Tribolium castaneum: one gene and its partner. The protein of the gene in region 2 interacts with the protein of the main gene of each other region in a biochemical or structural test. Links are inferred from orthologs where the notes say so. Each region holds a gene or a part of one and is shown on either strand. Other genes may lie near its edges.

The links. The genes of interacting proteins can lie anywhere in the genome.
Region 1: the proteins of protein SHQ1 homolog (region 2) and Nop60B are reported together in a solved structure, tested with the Homo sapiens proteins (2 studies listed by BioGRID, with this or other methods). The link is inferred for Tribolium castaneum from reciprocal best matches to the Homo sapiens genes SHQ1 and DKC1.

Annotation. Positions count from the first base shown.
Region 1 is NC_087394.1:7,767,149-7,771,333, reverse strand, and holds the start of Nop60B (H/ACA ribonucleoprotein complex subunit 4), read right to left. Parts: upstream 2,806-4,185; 5' UTR 2,702-2,805; coding exon 2,689-2,701; intron 2,533-2,688; coding exon 2,384-2,532; intron 2,337-2,383; coding exon 2,120-2,336; intron 2,066-2,119; coding exon 1,811-2,065; intron 1-1,810. Other genes in the region: P32 (complement component 1 Q subcomponent-binding protein, mitochondrial), read left to right, coding at 3,821-4,022, 4,068-4,185.
Region 2 is NC_087397.1:6,232,141-6,235,241, reverse strand, and holds protein SHQ1 homolog, read right to left. Parts: upstream 1,859-3,101; 5' UTR 1,793-1,858; coding exon 530-1,792; 3' UTR 502-529; downstream 1-501. Other genes in the region: uncharacterized protein LOC657396, read left to right, coding at 75-186, 242-501, 1,889-1,930, 2,119-2,368, 2,417-2,728, 2,785-2,877, 3,021-3,101. UniProt on the Homo sapiens protein: Required for the quantitative accumulation of H/ACA ribonucleoproteins (RNPs), including telomerase, probably through the stabilization of DKC1, from the time of its synthesis until its association with NOP10, NHP2, and NAF1 at the nascent H/ACA RNA.

The DNA of each region.
Region 1 (4,185 bases), on a different chromosome or scaffold from region 2:
GAGTTAAAACTTTCTGTTTTTTATTGTAAAATCTTGTCAAACTGTGTCAAAAATTCACTAAAATAGACGTGTTCTTCATTTCTGTGACAAGTTTGAGACCCAATGTCACAAGTATTTTACGAAATTATAAAGATAAGTTAAAAAGTACAAATTTCGAGCGAAATTCAGACAATGTTTGAGCTAAACACGTAACTGTTTCTCTAAATTTTGCCAAATGGCGTTATTTTTGTCTTTTTGAGACTTTTTTTGGGCGATCGTCAACTTCACCTTCACAAGTTTTATTAACTTTGTCAGGCAACTAAATTGGACCAAACAAAAAATGATAAATTTGCCTTTTTCGAACACGTTTCAGAGATAGACATAATTTATTTCATGAAACTGTCTCAAAAAAAGTCGAAAAATCACAAAATTCAATAAAAAATTACACCATTTTGTCGTTTTCTAAAGGTTTAGCACGTATTATTTGGGGTTTACGAAATTTTTCACCTTCTTTGAGTACGTTTCAGATACAGAAACTATTATTTCACAAAAATTTTCCCTAAAATACTAATTATAAAATTTTTCGGGCCTTTACGCCCATTTTTTAGTTAAAAACTTCTATTTTCTTTCGAAATTTTGTCACACTGTTTATGAATAAGACCAAAAATGACGTTTATTGCCCTTTTCAGGCGCGTTGGGACCCAGAAACGCAATTATTTTATGAAATTTTGCCTAAAATAAGCCAAAAAGTCACTAAACTCACTCAGAAATGTCTTTTTTCGAAAGTTTTAGCTAGTTAAATTAGTCCGAAAATGATTTTTTTACTTTTTCACGGACGTTTTAGATAAGAAATAGTTATTTTTCGAAATTCTGCACGATATAAGTCAAATAATGACTAAATTCTGTTAAAAATAACATTATGCTTTTTACTAGCAAATTTAATATTTTTCGAAATTTTGTCAAAAATAAACTGAAAAGTCACTGTTACGCCTTAAAAATGGGGTTTTCTGTACAATTTCCCAGTTTTCTTGACACCTTTTTTGAATTAAAAATTTACAATTACAAAATAAGAGCAAAATTTTTTAAACCCAAAAAACACAAAATTTTGCAAAAAATAAACCGAAAAATTACTAAATTCGGTTGCAATTAGTGATATTATTTCGCCTTTTTCAAAAGTTTCATAATTAATTTCTCAAAAATTCATCAAAAATAAACCGAAGTCACAGGTATTACAAGTAGATCCCAAATGGTGTTATTATGACCTTTTTGAGATTAAAAATTCATTAGTTTCTTTTATGAACCTGTACCAAAAATCATTAAGTTGGACTAAATATTATGTTTTTCACCTTCATAATAATAATTATTTCTCAAAATTTCGACAAAAATTAATCGGCCACCAGAGCCGCAAATCTTAGGATTATTTTTGCATTCTTTGAGAGAACTGAAATTACGTTTTTTGTCTTTTCGAGCACATTTCAGGCGCAGAAATGCAAATTTCCACAAAAATTTGCCAAGATTAAGCCTAACATCACTAGTTTCAGACACCTTACAAAGTTATTTCTCGAAATATCGTCAAAAATAAATCAAATACTTACCGATATATTGATATATATATTTTTTTTCAAGCATTTTAGCACGTTCTGTAGTTAAGAAGTTATTTTTTTTTGCAAAATTTTGTCAAGCTGTGCCAAAAAAATCAATATTTTTTACTTTTTCGAGCAAATATTTCACGAAATGATGAAAAACGAAAAATCGAAAGGGTCATTATTTTGCATTTTAGAGCGTCGTGTTTCTCCAAAATTTTAGTCCTTTGTATTGGTAAAAATCTTACCCATATTTCGGCTTTCATCATATTGGAATAATTTGCTATCATAGACCGTGCGAACCCTCAACTGTCTCTTAACGGCCGAAATTAATGGGGGTCTTTGAAACAAGGCCCCTCGGAGCTTCTCCAACCCTTGGAGCACTTTTGGGGTCCCTCCCTGTACAGTTGAATGCAATTTAAACACAGCCACGTACTCTTTCCCTGCAGCTTGCTGGGATTTAACCAGTCTGGTAGCGCGTTCAATGCACACAATTAAACAACCTTAAATCAATTATTAAATATACATGATTTCAATTAAATTAAATAGTTTAATACCTGTAACTTTCGGATCTAAAGTACCCGAATGACCTGTTTTTTCCACTTTCAAAATCCTTTTAATCCAAGCTACAACTTCGTGACTGCTTGGATTACTGGGCTTGTCCAGGTTAATGTAACCTGACTTAACATAATCGGAAATTTCCCTTCGTAAAGGGGAAGAACCAAACGGCAAAGGTACGTAATGGTTCGTTCTCACATTCAAACGGTCAAAATACTGCAAATCACGCTTTGATGTAACGAAAAACCGAATTTAAAACCCACCTTTAACAACAAGGGCCACTTGGAACTGTCCAACTTTGCAATCACTGAGGAGGGCTCCACTGCAAATTCGGAGCCTTTTTGAAGGTTCCCCAAGTCTTTGTCGCCCTTGCTTTTCTTCTTTTTCTTCTCCCTAACGGGCGTATCCGCCTCTGCACAAAATTGCGTTCTAAATAACGATAAGACAAAGCGGCCGGTTTTTTGAAAAAAATCATTATTTTTGAAACTCTAAATACATTTCTACCACTAATTATTTATCAAAGAACGAAATAAAGCCTCGTTAAAGATAATAATAAACAATAACTTACCAAACTCAGACATCGCTTAGAAAATAACCAACACGTGCATCCGACACAGAAAGTAGGGTTAGTTTTTTGACAACTAACAACAATTTTGACAGATTTTAAGTGGCGCTACTGAAAAAAATTTAAATGAAATAAATGGCGGGAAATGTTTTTTCGGTTATTTAGAGTCTTAAACGATTTTTCTTTTATTTTTTTTATTTTATTTTGGTAAACATTGGCGTTTTTATGCGCTGTAATCGGTGTTTAAAAATTTAAAAAATGTAAAAATTGCAATCTTTTTTTTTGTGTTTTTTTTCGGAAACACTGAGACTTAGAACTAAAATCAAAAAAGCATCAGATAGCGCCTAAAATTATCTATTTTCTTGCCAAAACCCGGAGCCGCTTCGGTCAACGGTTCCAGGTACAGAGGCATATAAAGTTTTACATTAAAAAAATATTTATCAAAAACCAAAAGTCTATTGTCCATTTTTTATTTCATTTAAAATTTTGAAATTTTTTGCTCAAAATTTTAATAATCAAGGCACTTACCTTCACAAAAATTAAGAAAAAAAATTTAAACTCACTCTAGCAAAGTTTTACGAACTTTTTGGCAAATAACTCAGAATGTGTTAGTTAATTACAAAACTTAAAAAAAAATGCCAATAGTTTTAGAAGAAATATAACATATGACGCAACTGTAAGTACCCTTCTATAGCTGTTTTTTTTGCAAAATTATATACGGTAACCCGTTTGCAAAATGTAATTTCAATTTTTAGAAGTTGATTACTCTACATTTTTCCAATTCAATCCAGGATTTTTTTTAAATATTAAAAATCGTTCTATCGAAGAGTTTTCTAAATTTTTCATTAATTTTAATTTTAGACCACAAAATTTTAATTACTATAAGAAAACTGGCCAATTATTGTCCGGTTTAACATTTTATCTGGACACCGGACAATCATCTGGGTGAAAACCGGACAGGTGTGGCAACCCTATGAGGAATTTGGTGACGATTTAGTGATTATCGTTTGTGGGTTGGTGCCATTCTGGGGATTTTCGTAGCGTTGGGTTGCGCGTCGCTTTTTTCTGACAGTTTTTTTGATAGCACGTGTTGTGGCCGGTTTTTTCACGCATTTCGCCTAAACTAAGTATAAAAATGAATAATTTGCTTCGAGTTGCGTCCAGACTCAGCTTCAAGACGCTCCTGAGTCCGGTTAAAAAAGTGTCCAACACTTTCCAGCAGCGGCAACTTGCGCGCAATCTTTGGTACATGTGCAATCGCAATGAGTCCGAAAACAAACTGAGCAAGTTGTGCACTTGTGGGTGCATGAGCAGGCACCAGCATGCACACAGTAAAGGTACGTAAGTGAGCCCAATAAGTTGGAGGAATAACAAACTTGTAGCCGAACGTGAACTGGTTGAGTTTCTCACTGAGGAGATTGTCCTGGAGAGGAAGGCCCAGAAGTCGGTGACGCTTCCAGCCGAGCTTGAGGGTTTTAAAGTGGGGTTGAACGGGTCTGA
Region 2 (3,101 bases):
AATTATTATATCAAGGACGTATAAATTATGGAAACTATAAATTATTTTCGTTGTTTTCATTTGTATTTTTTCAGTATCAGCCGACGAAAACTCATTGGGAAATGTAGTGTTACTGACGCGCGAAAAAGTCTTAGAAATAATTGAATCGTCTTATCCGAACCCTATCACAATCCAAGACATTGCAAAGTAAGTCATTGGCTTGATTTTTACAATTAAAAACAAATCAACAAAACAAAAATAGGGAAAATGGTTGGGATGAGGAGGAAGTGGCCCATCACATTGCCGATTTACAATCAAGCAACATTGTCAAAGCCATGGAACATGGCGCTTTTACCCGCCAACAGTCCCACGATACTCAAGTAATTATCGTGAAACAAATGCCGACGATGGTCAGCTCCAAACAACCGACAATCGCCATAATCACAGCCCAGTACTGTGAGAAATTGGCCGTGGATGCGATGATTGAAAACAAGGAGACTTTCGTGAGATATACAACAGTAGGTGAGTCACTAATTTATTGACAATAGAATTAATCAGATTCGGTTGAACTATCGTCACTCGAAGTATCACTAAAGTCGTCCGAATCATCATCTCTGATTTGCAAATTGTTCAAGTCCAAATTACGACAAACGTCGTCTTCGATTTCTTGGAGATTCAATCCAAGGTCACTCTTCTCGATCGTCACTTGTTTAATTTCTTCAACGACTTCTCTCCACTTCGTCCTGTCCCACTTCATGATGTAAATGATATAATCCTTAATGAACAAATTGTTAAGAATGTAACGGCAACAATCGCCAGTCAAAAAAATGTGGTACATTTCAATCAAACACTTGATTATATATTTTTCGCCCAAATCGAGTAGTTTCCTCAAATCGGTTAAAACGGTTCGGTTAAGTTCGAAATTCCGGTAAAGCGGGTAAATGACACTCCGCCGGAATGCACTAACTAGGGCATCCTTAGGCGTTTGGAAAACATCAAGCCAGCAAAACGTCGCGGCTAACTTGACAATGGTCCAACCCGACTCAGAGGTGCCCTCAAATTGGGTCGTCCGTCGGTCGTAACAATACGCGTATAAAATATCAACGAGACAACAGTGGCAATAATTGACTTGTGTCTCGCTCAAGTTGTACGTTTTGTTCGGTAAATCCTTAAGGAAGTCCAGTTCCTGGTCGCTGAACTGAACATCATCCGACTTTAACTTGTCCCAAGGCGCTTCCAGCGCGATCAGTTCCAAAATTTCCTCGTTTTCGATGTAGTCGCTCAAGTAGTGATCGATATTGAACTTGCCTTGCTCGAACTGCACCCGCATTTTGTGCCTTTGCCCCAAATTGACTTCGCGAGGGTCGACCTCAAACACGTCCTTGAATTCGGCCGAGACATGGTTGAAGTTTTCCTTGCCGCAGAGTGCGAACCCAAACTCTTCGTTCAGCTCGTCCGGGGATTTGATTCCCTCATTGGCCACGATAGTAATTTTGCGGTTGTCTTCGGTGACTTCGACTTTGGGGGTCAATAGTTTCGTTATCAGGTCCAAATCGGGGAAATGTTCCCCGTCGATTGCCTTCTTTATCGTGAAACTGAACTGTCCCGAGTCCGAATCGAACGAACTCTCGCTGAAATTGTCCTCGACGAGGCGCCCGGGCAGGTGTAAGCGCAGGTAATAGGGGCTGGTGTAGAAAATGAAGATGTCGTCGTCGACGGTCACCTCCAACTCGCCTAAATTACAGTACGGGGCTCGGATTTGTATTGTGACGGTTGATTCGGTTTGTGTTAGCTTAAATCGCGGCGTTATCATCGTGAAAACACACACTAAGTTTGGTTTGTGAGGTTAGGTGTGTTTGACAGTTGACATGTAACAGCGCCAATTTTAAACAGCAATTTTATTGAACAGGTCCCAGTAGCCCCACGGGTGACAAACCGAGGGCCCGCTTCGGTAAGATAATTGCAAGTTCTGGGGGAATCACTTGTGATGTCACCATTTTGTGTTTGTACATAGATCACGAAAATCACTTGTGAATGTTGCATTTGTATGCAAAATGCTTTCCACTGTTCACTAACACTGTAATTATCACGGGGTGTTTGCCATTGTCTTGGCGCACTTGTAACTGTGTGATTTTCCAGGGGAATCCAATGTTTACACTTTGGGGAACATTGGGGCCCACCGTATTGTGTGCACGAAATTGCCCTCAGTGGGCCATACTCGGGAAGCAATGACCGCTGCTGGTAACACAACCACGAGACTTTTGGGGACGTTCCAGAAGGTAGATTATGTGTTTTTGGTCGGTGTGGGTGGGGGAGTCCCCCATTACACCGACTATAACAAGCATGTCCGGTTAGGAGACGTCGTGATTTCGCATCCCGTCGATAATAAGTGAGTCATTTGATGCGAAAAATGACTGGCATTAATTGATAACTTTAGGGACGTGTACGTTTATTGCGAGACGGCCAAAGTCAGCGATAAGGGTTACGATTTTGAGGTCAAACACTACCGCCCCAATAACTTCATTTTGCAAGACATTTCCTCACAGTTAAAGTCGTCCGATTCGGGTGATAATGGGACGGTTTCACCGTGGGCCAAATATCTCAAGGATGGTTTAAATATTCTCAGTTCGCAAATCGAGACCGATTTTAACCCCCCGAGTGTGGAAACCGACAAACTGTACATGACTATCGGTGAAAGGGACTTGATCGAAGTGGCCCATCCTGTGCCACAGGACAAAAACATTAAAAGGTTTGTATTGTGTTAACTGAACTTATCAATTACGTGAATTTAATTGTGTGAATTAGTTATAAAAAGCCGGAAATTCGGAGAAAACCGGTGATTACGCCGAGAAAAACACTCTCGAGTCGAACTAGAACGATTAAGAGAAAAATTCTTAGGTGGGTGGTTGTAGAACCGCACCGTTTTGTAGTCACAGTATTTATTAAATCACAGTTAGTTGAGTAATTCCTCACTTCGTAATTAGTTCTACACGACTCACTTTTTCCTTGTTGTTTTGTGGTTTCGAATGTTTGCATTTTAGGCAGGAGGGTTGCCCTCGCATCCACTTATCCACCATAGCTTCAGGCCGTCTGATCGTCCGCGATGACCGCTTGAGACAGAA